3 linked regions of the Neodiprion lecontei genome follow. The protein of the gene in region 1 interacts with the protein of each later gene in a pairwise test. Links are inferred from orthologs where the notes say so. Each region holds a gene or a part of one and is shown in the gene's direction. Other genes may lie near its edges.

Region 1 (4,196 bases):
AGACTTTCCACACCAACGGATCGCTTCAATACTTCAAGGATTCTGTTGCCAGAATTTAATACATCACTCCTGCTCTCAATCCACTGTAAACAACAAATATCAACACTTGAGATATAATAGGAATAAATTGGTGAAAAAATGGAATACTTGGCAGATAAATATCACGTTGAATATGTACTTTGTGTGCAACGGTGGTCAATACAGTTTTAAAACCAGGTTGACCATACTTGTCGACAGGGGGAAAATAGGTTCCTCCTGTAACAGGGGTCAATTCGGGGGTCAAAAATACGCTCATTGGCCATCCACCATGTCCAGAAATAGCCTGAAACAATTTAATGCAGGAAATGAGTTATTTCTCTTAGATATTTTCGTTAACATAACTTATAGAATGACATCTTAAATGAACATGTGTATATTTACTTGAATAAAAGTCATATATATTTTGTCAATGTCAGGTCTCTCCTCGCGATCAACTTTCACATTGACGAAAAACTGATTCATAACACGCGCGATTTCAGGATTTTCAAAGGATTCCCGCTCCATGACATGGCACCAATGACAGGTGGAATATCCAACTGACAGAAATATAAGCTTGTCTTCACGCCGAGCCTTTTCAATTGCCTCGTCACCCCAAGGAAACCAATGAACAGGATTTGTTGCATGTTGCAAAAGGTAAGGAGACTTCTCAAATGCCAATTTATTTTGGGTTTTACTTTCAGAAGGTTCACCTTTCACCGTCGTCGAGGTCATTCTTACACTGTAAGGAATGAATAACCGTTCACTATGAATATATCTGTAAATGAATGAAAAACAAATATCATTATCAGACTATTTAAAACCAATTGTTGGCTTTATCATGTTTACGAATTTTCTCTCCATGGATATACGAACCTTTTGCTATGATAGTTGTTGACTACCTGAAGCAGTTTAATGTCCTTGGCGGAGAATTTTTTGAATTGATGTTCAGAAGAAAAGCGACGAATTGATGTCCATATTGAACATCTTCGCGGAATCATAACATACATATGTGTTAAAATATAATATTATAAATAATAATTATTGAGTAATTTTCACTTGAATAATTATATAACGAGTTTCAAATTAACCTTATCGCAAAGTGAGAAAAAGATAATAACGTTCATAGGTATACGTGTTGCGTGTATGCGCAATTTTATTTACACATGATTATATACGGCACGTATACCTATACCAAAGCCTATACCAATTCGTTCGCATGTTAGTGCGTATAAATATTTATCACATACACTATTTTGCATTTGGTCTGACAGTTTTGATGATAGTTTTTGACGTTTGACCTACCTTTTCCCCGTGGCTATGTAACCAGCTGAGAACCGCAACGTGGTGTTAAATACTCCTCATACAAAGTAGCTTACATCCGGTCGAAGGATCGACGTTATCACTCAGGATTCCTAGGGATAATTTGATAATGGTGCAATTTTTTGTTTCCCAACTTTTCGAAAAGAAAGGCTTGGGCAAAGCTGTCGATCAGCTGGTTCTTCAATACGGATTAATCAGATAAGCTCAAGCCTTTCAGCTCCTTCATTTTGAAAATGTGGGAAATAAATGCATATCCGTTTTTAATTGGCTGCACTGGGTGCGCATGCAATTTCCCTAATTTTCAACTAATGGCAAAGGCGTAAATCTAGGGAAAACGCACTCAGTGCAGCCAATTGAAAACGCTTTGAGCACAGTAGAAAAGTGCACACTGCACATTAAAAATCGGAACACACTGCGTTCTCCATGGTTCATCGTATTTGTCATTGCCGCTAAAAAGCGTAAAGAGTCGTTGCGAAATTCGGATTTCGGGCTTAGGAAGTGCCAAGGCATTCGAACCTACGGTGTGTGTACCAAAGTGCTAACATTACAACCAAATAACCACGTGCCGCGGCGATTAAGCTCACGGAGAGCCTTGCTAAGCTTGGACTAATTTTGCAGATTTAATGTCAGGCATCGCGATCGCTAGACTCGCTGAGGAGAGAAAAGCATGGAGGAAAGACCATCCATTTGTAAGTATTATCTTGTCACTTCTATTACTGCATTGTACTTTTGGATGAAACCGGGTCATTTGGATGGTCCCAAGTTAACCATTTTACCTAGTCAACCATCCCTCCCATTATTACCTGGCCGTAAGGGCATAATAAACCCTCCGAATACATAAATCATGTCATGAAAGATTGTCGTCCACATACGCACGCACACACATGTAAAAAGTGCACAGGTCAATCTCATCGTTTTTACCTCAAGTGGTCTAAATTTTTTTTGTTTTTGAATGGGAAAATTTTTCTTCTGAAACCAGATAACCAAACCTAACCTATTTCTTATTCCTTTTGGGTATCTTCATTTATTGAATTACTTGTGCTGAGATCCGAGGCTGTATGTGACATGCTCAAAATTTGTTACAAACACCCAGAGGCGGCCAGATTTTGAATTTCATTTGTTTACTTACAGGGCTTTGTAGCTCGGCCTACAAAAAATCCAGATGGAACACTTAATTTGATGAGCTGGGAATGTGCTATACCTGGAAAGAAAACTGTAAGATATTGCAAGTCGTTGCTCCTAAAAATCTGCCTTGAATTTATTAAAATCTGATGGTAATTTTCTTTGTAGACTCCATGGGAAGGCGGGCTGTACAAGTTGCGAATGATATTCAAAGACGACTATCCTTCCAGTCCGCCAAAATGCAAATTCGAGCCCCCACTTTTTCATCCTAATGTTTACCCTTCTGGTACTGTATGCCTATCTCTCCTAGATGAAGAAAAGGACTGGCGACCAGCCATAACAATCAAGCAAATCTTGCTAGGAATCCAAGATTTACTTAATGAACCAAACGTTAAAGATCCCGCCCAAGCAGAAGCTTACACTATTTACTGGTGAGTACTCAACGAGGCATAGATTGAGTTTTTTTTTTTCCAAGTCTACAGCGACAACATCACTTATTGAAACTCAATTATTGCAGCCAGAATCGTTTGGAATATGAAAAACGAGTGAAGGCGCAGGCAAGAGCAATGGCACCGCAAGAATAAAAAACACGAACGTTCCACCTACCACAAAGCAAAACTTTATTTTCTAAGCCTGCAACAAATATAATATAACATAATGCAAACTATATACAAATAATTTTTCCCCCACTTACAATTTACATGACCATAAATGTTGCATACATATACATAGGTAAGTAAAAACAGAATCATCATTTTATTTTCTTCTATGTATAATTATCAATGAAATTGTTTATTATCAACGAGTGCTCGATATCAGTGAGATTATCTTCTGCCTGATAAATTAATAATTATCCTATTCGAAATCCATGCCAAGGACAATTATCCTTCATTATATAATGTACATGTAAGAAAAGAGGAAAAAATGTGTTACACATCGTTAGACTTATAATGACTCTATGCGCAAACCGAAGATCAGGTTTTGCAAATGTAAATCTAACCATGATTATACTATAAAAATTATTCTAGGAAGCTGAGTCGATTAATGTTTGTCTCTAAGTATTTATACTCGATGTATCCAATAAAATTTGTGTAAAAATAGGAGCTTTGATAGCGTAGTCTCAGAAAAGGACGTCATATAGTGAAGAGAGGAAATTACATTTATTTTTTTATTTTTTCTTGTTTTTTTTTTATCATTAAAATATTCCACATATCGTTTTACATTGTTCTGTCGATTAAAATCAATAAACAAAAAATTAATATGAATTTTAAATCGAAGCCTTATTACTTCAAACCAAATTTCAAGCCTTTCAAAATAGTTTCTGCATTCTCGTCATTATACACAATATGAAGTTATGACATTTACTTGGAAATAATGTCACTATGATTTCGGAGTGATGTTCATTGAGCATGTAATAAATTGCTCAGTACGCTGCCTCGAGCAAAGTCTAGTAATTTAAAATATTCAATGGCTATTCATGCGCAAGTAGGTTAAAGTCATCGATTGATATATCGATCAATGAAATCTGCTATTCACAGATGACACTGTGTCCATCGCTTTAATCTTCTTAATCCACGTCAACGCCGGCGCATGTGTGCGCCGGACCCGAGAAGCAACCTGTAGCTGCGTAGCAGCCGCGAACCGCGATGGTGGGGCGTATTTTGTATTTCCTTACATTCGCCCGATGTACTTTGCTCATAGCGGCGGCGGCGGTTTGTATAGTGTGTCAATTGTCG
Region 2 (6,703 bases), on another chromosome or scaffold:
ACCCAGTCCAGGTTGTTTGGAGCTGTTCGAGCATTGAAGTCTGATTAAATTTGATTTGAGAACACGTCTGAATCATTGGTGTAAACGCATCCACTTCCGAGTTCAAGTGCATCGTCAATTGCACGACCGTGTTTGCATGCGTGTATCGGCATTTAAGGGAAGAAACTTCTCGAGAAATTAGTTAAAATCAGCGGGAGGTAGATATTTATTGAATTTTTTGATTTTCTCTCAAATTTCTCATTAACCTTTGGTGTATCTGTGGAAATCAAAGCACACTTGTTTGCTACAGTCTGCAATGCAAACCGCAATTCGAAAATTGCTATGCCATAGACAATTCCAATTAATCTGCCAATGCAAAAACAATATTTGTAAACATTATAACAACTTCTCGGTAACAATTTGTGAAACGATGGACACTGTTGGAGACTGCCAGCTAGCCCTGCGTTATTTTTGATAGTAATTTGCCAGCTCTACTGGGCAGGTTTGGGTGTAATTCCACTACCCTGCACTTAACAACTGACTCGTCTCATCCCAATCCGCGGGATCCTAATGCAAGATCAAGTCGGCGTAGCAGAATATTGTAACGTTCCCCCTCGCCCTTCAGCAGTCCATAAGGCTAGCAGTTTCGAATATCTTTAGTCAAAAATTGAAGGAACGAAATTGAATGTTCCGAAATACCAGGAATCTTCAAGTTTGTAAAACTTCCGGTTTAGTCGTAGGCATGTCGTAGGTAAGATTTTAATGTTCTTGACTCTTACATGATTGTTCCGTTCTAACTAGTTATAGCAACGTTCAGAATGCGCGTGAATTATTGCCCTACAATAAGAATAATCCTCTACCGTTGACAGATATTCTACAGTTATCAAATTGATTTTTTTGTGTGCATATATAATATAATATACATCTTTATATCAGAGAAAAATCTTTTCTATAATGTTTTACAGTCGTTCTCATAGCCCTGTTGCATGAAAATTACACAGATGGCGCACGTGGACATTGGCTAGCGGTCTATGGCTACCCATATAGAAGGGTGTGTTCCGAAATGAGCTGCGACCGTTGATAATTCATTAACTAGAAACAGAACTGGTGGTCAAACTTGAAATACAACAAAGATAAAAGATTGCTGACAGTACTGTCAACTAATTTTGGAGCATAGCCTTGGAAAAAGATAAATTTTCGGAGTAAACGCAGCCAGTACGCAGTCTATTCCGAACAATTTCAAATAATTGTTTAAATTTCACTTCCAAGTCTTAACTTGAAGGAAACTTGAATAATTCCATGAACCCAGACGTATTGTGATCGTCAAAGGCCACTAAAAGCTTTTCCAAAATACAATAACAATTAAGATAAGGAGTGATCAGTCTTCTGTGACGCTGGACATAAAAGTGCTCAGCATATTACAGCGAAAATAAAAATTTCGGCGTACAACGCGGGAAACGAACGGGAATTTTCTTCAAGTGGTGGGAAGCACAGCAGACAAGACGGCTTCGCAAAAAAAATCGTCGAGGAAGATGGCGGATACGGAAGAACTGAAGGTAGGACGAGAATAAAATAGATCTTATTATCTTGACTTAAACGAGCCACATGTTAAATGCCTTCCAGAAACTTGAGTCATTGATTTTTCCGTGTCTTATTTTTCACCAATTATCGAACATTCACATATCCAAACTCTTCCAATGTCTTGCCAACGCAAGCAAGGCTGCGTTTGATCATACTAAGCGACATTTATTTTCACACGCGGCTTTTCGCTTTTCTTCACATTCGTCCAATTTCCAACTTCCATATTTTCGTAAACGTATCTTCATTCAATTCGGAAACTTCTCGTGTATCTCAAGCATAACACAGGAATGCGGATACGAGACGGCAAGTAGGAGCAACTGATAACTACAATGGGTAACCTCTATCTCTAGCTTATGCATCACGCTATTCAAATAATCAACATATTTTACTCTACAAAATTTTTTGGAATTGCCTCCCCATCTATCTACTTTGGGCACAAGAGTTTACTTTTGTGCACTTCGTATATGGCAGGTTGGGAAAAATTGTCATATTTGATTATATATTTTTCCGACTAGTACTATAGAGTGTAATAACATTTGAGAATATAGCTAGACAGAAACGGTACGATTTTCTAGCAGGAAGAATTTGTCGTTATTGCCTAATGTTGTTATCATTAAAGACATTTTCTCATTCTGTGAAGTCTCAGTTTGTCTATAATTATCTTGGGCTATTATGGCTATAAAAATGTCAATTGTCTATTTCAGAGTATGGTATTAAGTTTTCGAGTATCTGAACTTCAGATGCTTTTGGGTTTTGCTGGGCGAAACAAATCAGGTCGAAAAAACGAACTTCAAACACGAGCTTTGGAACTATTACGCCTTCGATCCCATCCTGTGCAGCTAAAAATTCGCGACCTTTATAGAACCATACAGTAAGCCAATATTTATACCAATTTTCATTCCCTTTGGCTAGATATCTGTCAGAACAATAATACTTAAGGATTACATCAAACGTGTAACAGCTGTCACAGTTCATAATTAAACAGCCATGTTCTAATAAAATGAATGGAACCAGTTTGAAACGGTGATACTTTGCTGATTTATTAATAAATACACATAGTTCTTTCTTTCACTCATATTGTCAGTACAATAAAAATCTGTGTCACAGGCAAGATCAACTTGCCGCACATCAGCTGTATGGTCAAGGTGGCGACAACGGTGAGCCTCAAATCGATCAAAACATGCATTCCCGTAACTATTATACAAGGTAAGTCAGAGTTACATTAACTATGTCACTTCTAAGATATCCATTGACTCTGTAAGGAGTAGGAACATGTTTATTTGTTTGTTCCTGAATCTTAATCCAATTGTTTTAGGCAAGGCCATGCTCAGGCAATGAGTCAACAACAGCAGGCCCAATCATCTATTTCAAGTGGGAAGGATTTGCCCCCGGCGCATCAGGCATCGATGCCTCAATCCCAAGTGGCACCGAGAACATCATCTGTTTACCAACCAACTGGATACACCAGTGTTACACCGCAGGTAGATTTGGTTTTCATTTGAAGATAATTGAAGTACTTATTTTGTGAAGTGCTAAACTATCTGTTAATTTCAGCAACGCTCGTCTAGTGCTGTTTATAATCCTTATCCCTATCCAACAAAAGTACTACCGCCTCCCCTGCAATTACAACAACCAAACCAGTATCCAGTTCACCCTGATGTCAGGCTTAAAAAGCTACCATTCTTTGACCTGCTTGGAGAGCTGTTGAAGCCTTCGAGTCTTATGCCACAAGGATCTATGAGAGTTCAAGAAGGCACTTTCACATTTCACTTAACGCCACAACAGTCTACAGACATTGCTAGCTCACGAGACTGCCGTGCTGGGAGTAAAATGGACTATACTGTACAGGTGGTGTGCTCTAATATTTTACGGTCAATAGCTAGAAGGCAATAGCATTTTTTCGAACGTCACGGTTATTGCTATTGTTTATCTTTTGTATATATTTAGAAACATGTTTGAAGTATTATTTTTTTGTGTGTAACAAAAATCTTCCTGAGGTTTTACAATCTAAATGTTTGTTGTACTCATTATACAGGTTCAGATGCGATTTTGCTTGCAAGAAACTTCTTGCGAACAGGAGGACTACTTTCCACCTAGTATCATAGTTAAAGTCAATGGAAAACTATGCCCATTACCGGTATTATATATATATATTCAAGTTTTTTAAATTCACCCGATTCTTATTTATCTTTATAGTTGATATATCACCATTATACCATCCAAAACATTTTTTATTATAACTTCAGAATCCCATACCAACTAACAAGCCTGGTGTCGAACCTAAGCGACCACCTAGACCAGTGAATATAAGTCCATTAGTGAAATTATCACCAACAGTAGGAAATCAAATACATGTCTCATGGTCTGCAGATTATGGTAGACGATATGCTATTGCTGTTTATCTTGTTAGAAAGTTGACAAGCTCAGAATTGTTGGCTAGATTGAAAAGCAGAGGTGTCAGACATTCCGACTACACTCGCGGACTAAGTAAGTTGAATTTAATCAAGTACTTCTACTCCGATAGTTTCGATACCTTTAATCTATTTAACACTCATTACTGTGATTCAGCATTTTGTTTTAAAGTGTTGAAATTTAATCAATGATAACGCCTTCAAATTTTATCAGCTGAATTTCCTGAGACTCAGGCTGCTTTTTTGGCTGAATCATGATTCTGTTCTTTTTTTCTTTTGCTCTCAGTAAAAGAAAAGCTGAATGAAGATGCAGATAGTGAAATAGCGACAACTTCATTGAGAGTTTCACTGGCTTGTCCACTGGGAAAAATGAGGATGAGTACTCCTTGCAGAGCTTCGACTTGTTTGCATCTACAATGTTTTGACGCTTCTTTATTTCTGCAAATGAACGAACGAAAGCCCACATGGAATTGTCCTGTTTGTGACAAACCTGCACTTTATGACAACTTGGTTATTGATGGTTATTTCCAAGAAGTATTGAATTCAAATAAGTTACTGCCTGATGGTAATGAGATACAGTTATTACAAGATGGCTCCTGGGAAAATTTGGTTATGAAAAAAGATAAAGACAAAGACAAAGATAAAAATCAAGTTAATGCTGAGGTTAAATCATTACAGAAAGTGGAAACGCTAGATCTTGGTAAGTTGGTAAACCCCTCCATTATTTTCGTAGAAGTTTTAGGAATTTCACTTTGAAAATTGAAAAAAAACTGTTATTATTGAAAGTAATGCTGATTAATTTTGAGCAAAGTTACGCCCAGGTAGGGTCGATTCTGAGCCCCCTTATTTTAACGGGACAAAAATCAGGTTGCCAGCACTAGCGTCTACCCTACGCCTATTAGAAAATACACATCATATCTGCTCCATACACTACTACGTTTGGCTACAAGCTACCGGAGTTAACCTTATTGCTGACCTGTTTAAATGAGAGGCGATTGGAATCGAATTTACTTGTAAAGGTGTACCTTAATCTTCTGATGTTCGTACAACACGTTTTATTTTCAGATGAGTCCACCAACCCATCACCACTGTCACCAAATGAGAAGAAACGTGCTGTTGTCATCGATCTAATATCAGACAGCGATGATGATTCAAACCCATCACAAAGTTCGAATAAAAAACCTAATACTGGGACGTTGTCGCCACAAAAAACCCAGTCCGGTGCTCATAGTGCAATAAGTAGTACTAGAGAGTCTCCAGAATTAATGATAATTGATTTGGAGTAAGAAGTGTTCCTGTATATTGATGACTAACTGTTTGAGGCTGTGAGAACCCGGAATAGAATCCAGGTTTAGTATCGAACATAATGAATAAAAAACAGTACAAAGATAATGCACTCATTGTCAGTCTAAGCACTGTGTGAACGGCGCTGTATGGCGGTAGAAATTGGGTGTCATGACGTGTAACACGGATTCGTTTCTCATGTATTTATTTACTGATTATTTAGGATTTGAATATCGTCAACAACTCCTAATCAGCTGGATAGTATTTAAAGGTACACACGGTAGACATATAACTGTATAAAAACTCATCAACCTTTTTTTTTTCGTTAAAACGAAACAGCTTACCAGATTTAAGGACATCTATACATGTTTTAAAATATTGTGGAGAGAGCATCCATAACATGTAGCGAGAACATAATATGTGTAAAATAATTGTCGCTTTGTTGAGCACAATTCCAAATTCTGCAGATAATTGAATCATTTTCATGATATTTTATTCTTTTTACAATTTTAGTTTCCCCACCAAGTTTGGTGCTTGGCTTTGAATTGTATTCTTTCCATTGAAATTTTACGGTTTAAATATCATAATGGAAGATGCGGGACACGTATACAACGTACAGTTATTGATATTCTTTTTCTTTCGTTTACTTTTATTCTAAACTAGCTATCAAAAATATGTTTAATGCTAAGAAATAGCTTGTACGTAACTTGCGATAAAATGAAATAGGCACTGAGTACAGTCGTGTAACGTTACCATATTATGTACTTGATTATTTCGTATTTTTGTATAAGAAATGACATAAAATAAAAAAAAACTTCCTACTCGGTTACGTGTCTTCTGCATATTTTTAAATGTGCATGCGAATATCTAACACCAAATTTGATACCTTGCCTCACTTCCATGTGACTGTACGTAATTTTCCTTGTTGCTAGCAAAACTGAATATTGCGAAAGAGTATTGCACTCTATACTTAAACCCTAACATTTCGCGTGTTGCTGATTACGTGATAAGCTGCCGAATGCATGAAAAGACGCGATTGCGTCGTTGTCACTAACACAAAATCAAAGCTGTGCAATGATTTCATGCATGGAATTGAAAATGTTCGCTTTATTTGCTCGTCTTCCTTTACTTGGCATAATATATTGAGAAAATTAATCGATACTTTGATTTGTATCAGCAATATTATTTATGTTCAGCTTGTAACTGATGGAAGAAAACGTTTTGTTTCCCGTAATCTGCGTACGATAATCGAGTGATAAAAAAAAATTTCTTTCAAAGCTTAAACCAATGTTCATTTAGAGCAATGATGCGTTCAAATTGGATGTTCAGGTACCGCGATGCGTGTCCGAGAAAAGGAAGTAAGTAGAATGTATAGTATAATGGGTTGTAGGCTGCTGATAAACGGGCAGTCAGCAGAATACAACTGTGTAATATTTTGGCTCTGTATT
Region 3 (4,978 bases), on another chromosome or scaffold:
CGCGGAGGAAGACGACCGCGGCCTTACGCCTCGGGCGAAACACGACCCGTTTCAAAGACACGTAGAGGTATAGGGCCAGCGAGCGGAAGGGCGCGCCCTAAAATATGTGGACCCTCGGGCGACGCGGACTCCTCGTTACATCCCGACGGATGCCCCGAGGCGGCCCGATTTGTCCGTCCGTTCGTCTGTCCATCGGTCCGTCGCTCGTCCGGTTGACTCTGGAGCGCCGAGGTATGATACAAAAACACGAGGTTATTTTCTCTCTCGCGCACTCGTACAGTCATACCCCCGCCATTCGTCGACAGGGACTCGAGCCCCTGACCCTGGGGCAACGAGCGATACCATGCACGACGACCTTATCCTCGTCGGGCGGATAACTCGCCCACGTGGGTGACGAACCACGGCTGATCTCATCCTCGTGCATCTGTGCAGATGCGTCTACCGCAGGGTCCTTCCACGGAAATTCCGATCGTTGGAATCCACTATGTCCAGTGGTCCCGAAAATGTCCTCGAATTTGTTACGAATTTTTTACTGGACACCATGGAATCTCGGATATCTTCGGCAACTTCCAGCACCCTGTCAGGAGTGTTTCGTTTTGGTGCATTGACATTGCACGTGGTGGAATGTTAGGATTTGGCGATGAAACCGCATTCGGCGCAGCCTCGTTCGATCTTTTAACGTTTCTGTTCCGTTTCTTTGTTTGCTTTTTTCCTCTGTCATTGAAATTTGCATATTAACACCGACGGCGGATAATGGTGATGGGATATTGGCCGGGCAGTCGGCCGGGGCTCCATGCCCTACAGCTCTTATACTCGTTCGCGTCGGCGTTGGCGTTCGCGGACCGTTTCGTGCTGTTCGATTTGGTTCGGAAACGCCTTGGGCATCGAGGAATAACGTTGTTGGCCGTGGCTGCTTCGCCCTTGGGCTATTCCAATATAACTACAATATCCTGTAGAGGAATATCTCCGTGTAGTAGTGAACCTTGCGAAGGCGAGCCAGCCCGCGTTCCCTCAATATCAAACGCTGCGTGCAACAACACCCGGGAAGCAGCTCTGTGTTATATACATTTTTCGTTGACCACCGTGTCAAATCAATAAACTTACAAAAGGAATTCTCCCAAGACCATTTAACGCATCTCGGATCAACCTCTTTTCATCAAAATCCACCCATTCCGTCCAAGCACCAAAATAGCTACACAACACTGACATGTTTTCTCTCGGAGCAATAATTAGCGTTTCGGCGAAGTTCTAATTGAATCCTGTACAGTACATCGTTTAGCGCGTGAACGAATGTCAGAGTGTCATCTTCGACTCTAAACCAGTACCATAATCGAAACGAGAATAGTAAGTGAATTTTGTCGCACAAGTTATACCGCCTCGTGAAAAATTCGTTCCTACAGCAACGGTGCTTTATCCCAGATCACCAATCCTAAAAACTATCGTACGCATCGCCTGTCTATAAGTAGCGATCAGAAATGATCGAGACTACGAATACCTGTACCCGGTTTTGGCCGATCTCTGGCGACTCGAACCTGCGCCATAACGCAGTTTCGGATTAATTCTTCCGCGGTACCAAATCTTGATTTCGGCTTCATGGTCACCAACCCAATGTCCCTAGTTACACCCACTTCCACTTTTTTCCTGGATTCGTGAAGAGGTAAAACTGGATCAATCCGTGATTTTTGGAGTACCTTGAGACCCCGATGAAGGCACCGAGTGAAAATATCGCCGGATATCGAAATCGGCGTCGTCGTCGTCGGCGGCGGCGGCGGCGGCGGCGTCGCGACGCCAGCGTAGGATGATCGGTGGCCTGCGGTCCGTCTCGACGTCGCGAGCAGCGCAGTTCCCGCCCGGCTGTCGCGTCGTGCGCGTCGATGTGCTGCACCAGTCCGATATTAACGCGGGAAAACCAACCACGTGACAAGTGTGACGAGTATTATAGATATATAATATAATAATTAAGAGGAAGGTGGGCGTAGCTGATGCCTACGTGCCGATGACAGGAGGACCGTCGCCTCGTAGTCGCATTTTCCGCGCATATCGAGAATTTGACGACTGACTGCGTGTCTTTTCGCTTCTTCTTCTCCTTAATGTTTTTATTTTCATTTCTTAGTTTCTTTTTCATTTTCGTTATTCAATCTTCATTTCTTTTTTTCGCGTGTGAGTTGGTGCGATCTTTTACCTCTTATAATACACCCGACTATCTTGTGGTGACCAGTTGGCAAAGCAAAGGGGGATTTATTTGAAAATCGAAGAATACAAAGTGCTTCGAAAGTGCCTGATTATATCGCATTGGAATTTCGAATCTTTGATCGTCCACGGAATTTGGTCAAGTTGAAGAAAATCAAGGGAAAACAATTCGTCGTGGACAATCGGGGAGGAGCCGTCAACCTGGAGGCCACGTGTCCGAAACGGTGAGCATGACGCAGATATTTTCTCCAACATCCTCATGCGGGTGCATCATGCAATGCGGAGTCCCTTCAGCATGCCATTTCCGTATTAAAGCCCTTTGTATTCTTAATCCAAAAGTCTGTCAAAGCGACTGTCAGCCCACCGTTTTCAAATGTCAAAGCGACTATCAGCCCACCGTTTTCAAATTAATTTTAACCGCGCACATATTTGATCAATGAACGATTGTAACTTGTTGAACTTGTAAGCAACTGTTCAGATACGGGGTATTTTTTTTTTTTTTCTTACACATCTAATTCTTGTCAGTGGTTTGACTTGTTCGCTCGTATTATAACGTACGAGGAGAATAAAGTGCGGGGAATGGCGATCTGGTATGAAAAGATTTACGAGAATGAATCGTATGATAGGTATACAAATTGGTGCTGCGACCTGAGACCAATCAACACGCAAAGCGGGGCAATTAAAACCCAGAAGCTACCGAGCACGAGCGAAATTGCCATTAAACGTGATGTATGCACATACATATAAGTATAACATATAGGTATACTGTAGATACAGACAGCCGTGTCTGCGCGAAATCGGGAATTGATGCCATAGCTAGTCGATTACATACTCAACAGTTTTTAATCCAAACAAATCATTAAACTTTATCACTAATTAAGGTAAAAATTTTTAAAAAAAAGGATAAATTTATTCGATTTTCGCATCGGTTTAAATCCGATTAAACTGAAAAGTGAAATTTCGGTGCAGTTGAAACCTGACAGAGAACTCGAATTGTTAGTATACCTATACAGGTGTGGGTTGAGAACGTTTTCCGAGCATCTGACGCAGAGGGGCACCCCTCGTCACAATATTCCTCATCTTTTCCCTCATCTCGATCCTTTGCTCCTTCTCCCTGCGGTAAATATATAATATAAGGCGTGTTTCAATCGCGTATACTTTATACTACACCTATATATATATATATATATATATATATACATTTACACTGCACCTCGAGCTCACATCAGTGGCGTTTGGAAAGACTAGCGATGGTTGAGGATAACCCGGGGAGCCCTGAGGCCCTCCGAGGTTGAGGACACGGGGAGGAGGGTGAAAGGAGAGGAACCGGGACGCCCGGGGCATCGGGGGCCCCCGGGTGCAGACGCGCTTCTCGTTCCGTTCCCGTAATTAGAGCAGAAGCCCGGAGGGCGAGCCGCAGGCGTTCGCGTCAGTATAAGAGGCCCCGAACTTATTCGGGATCAGGGTGAGGGGTGGAGGGGGAGGGGGATGAACGGACGGAGAAAATATCCATATTTTTATACACGTATGTACGTGTGTGTGTACGGTATATTCCACGCCGACTTGGTAAACGGTTGACCCTTAATTTTTTTTTCATTTCACTAAGGATTTTTCCTACGTTAGTAAAATTTTGATATCGTCGTCAGACAATATAACGTATCGGCGTGTATAATTGCTTCGATGATATTGTAGTAACACAAGTATTTATAGAGGTCGATCTTGTTAATTACTTCAAGTGAGGTACGAATATACAGTACGAGTTATAGATTAGTGTCTTGTATACTCCCAGGAAAGTTTAGAGTTTCAGATTTTTTTCCGATGTGCAGATGGATTTTTGTGTTTTTGGAATGCTAGAGATTCTTGAATTATTCAGATCTTCAATGATTTAATATTGTTTTCGAACACCGGTGTTTCATCGCTGGATCGTATAATGGACGAAGTTTCGTCGAACCGTTGAGGAATAATGAAATTGGATGGTTTTGAAAATTGAAATCACTAATCTGACACTTGATATTTCGAATGTGATAGATTACGGAAAATGATTAATTCAGAATTGAGAAAAATATTTCAGATGAGTGTTGGTTCGAAGTTTGAAGACTATTGCTGAAACGTTATGAAAGATATGAAAATTGAGAAATTCGCATCTAGGTATAATATAATGTTAACAAAGTTCGATTGCTGCAAGAATCGTTGCAATCATGTACCGGTCTACTTGTAACAAGCTTCATCACTCACGAATCTCTGTAAGCGACTGCCTGTGTATAACCGGAAGTATCTGGCGTTTCTAAAATTTTCAAAAGTCTCGTATCGAGACACGTCAACTTGCATGTCATGATATATAATTACGTAACTGCATCAAAAATTGGACTTAATTCCGAATAACGAAAACTTTGGTATTGTATGCACGCAATTCCGTGATTACTGATTGAAAAAAATTTCGAATATTGCTATCTTCCTTACAACACTTTGCCGAATCTTTGCCGCTCTCAGAATGAAAGCCGGAATGATATTCCGAACGCAAGGTAATCTCCAACGAGTTTTCAAACACTTCTAGAACCGGGTGCAAAGTAGGTACGTATACGAAAGGTGTAACATGCGGTCCTCGGTCACGCAGCCTGTATCTCATACCCATGTGTAAGTATATGCGTAGCGTATCCGAAGTTTCCGTCTAGTTGGCAAGTAGGCGAGAGAGTATAACTGGTCAAATAGGCAGGCCACAGACGAAATGGAGCAAGACACGCATTGGCGCGTGTCGGGGGAGTGCCAGTGCAACCGCCCCGCTCAGCCC

What was found. The genes of interacting proteins can lie anywhere in the genome.
Region 2: the proteins of SUMO-conjugating enzyme UBC9-B (region 1) and E3 SUMO-protein ligase PIAS2 interact in a two-hybrid assay, tested with the Drosophila melanogaster proteins (2 studies listed by BioGRID). The link is inferred for Neodiprion lecontei from reciprocal best matches to the Drosophila melanogaster genes lwr and Su(var)2-10.
Region 3: the proteins of SUMO-conjugating enzyme UBC9-B (region 1) and BTB/POZ domain-containing protein kctd15-like interact in a two-hybrid assay, tested with the Drosophila melanogaster proteins (2 studies listed by BioGRID). The link is inferred for Neodiprion lecontei from reciprocal best matches to the Drosophila melanogaster genes lwr and twz.

Annotation. Positions count from the first base shown.
Region 1 is NC_060263.1:2,182,820-2,187,015, reverse strand, and holds SUMO-conjugating enzyme UBC9-B, read left to right. Parts: upstream 1-1,727; 5' UTR 1,728-1,859; intron 1,860-1,956; 5' UTR 1,957-1,961; coding exon 1,962-2,027; intron 2,028-2,469; coding exon 2,470-2,553; intron 2,554-2,628; coding exon 2,629-2,891; intron 2,892-2,977; coding exon 2,978-3,044; 3' UTR 3,045-3,561; downstream 3,562-4,196. Other genes in the region: spermatogenesis-associated protein 20, read right to left, coding at 1-83, 179-322, 421-793, 892-1,025; vitamin K epoxide reductase complex subunit 1, read left to right, coding at 4,145-4,196.
Region 2 is NC_060260.1:32,572,084-32,578,786, forward strand, and holds E3 SUMO-protein ligase PIAS2, read left to right. Parts: upstream 1-1,569; 5' UTR 1,570-1,584; coding exon 1,585-1,863; exon of another isoform or gene 1,864-1,893; intron 1,894-2,264; coding exon 2,265-2,431; intron 2,432-2,667; coding exon 2,668-2,766; intron 2,767-2,875; coding exon 2,876-3,041; intron 3,042-3,114; coding exon 3,115-3,408; intron 3,409-3,595; coding exon 3,596-3,697; intron 3,698-3,806; coding exon 3,807-4,047; intron 4,048-4,257; coding exon 4,258-4,671; intron 4,672-5,036; coding exon 5,037-5,257; 3' UTR 5,258-6,080; downstream 6,081-6,703.
Region 3 is NC_060261.1:2,904,392-2,909,369, reverse strand, and holds the start of BTB/POZ domain-containing protein kctd15-like, read left to right. Parts: upstream 1-1,855; 5' UTR 1,856-2,414; intron 2,415-4,978. UniProt on the Drosophila melanogaster protein: Functions with the transcription factor TfAP-2 to regulate octopamine neuronal signaling pathways that control behaviors such as male aggression, male mating, and the initiation of feeding.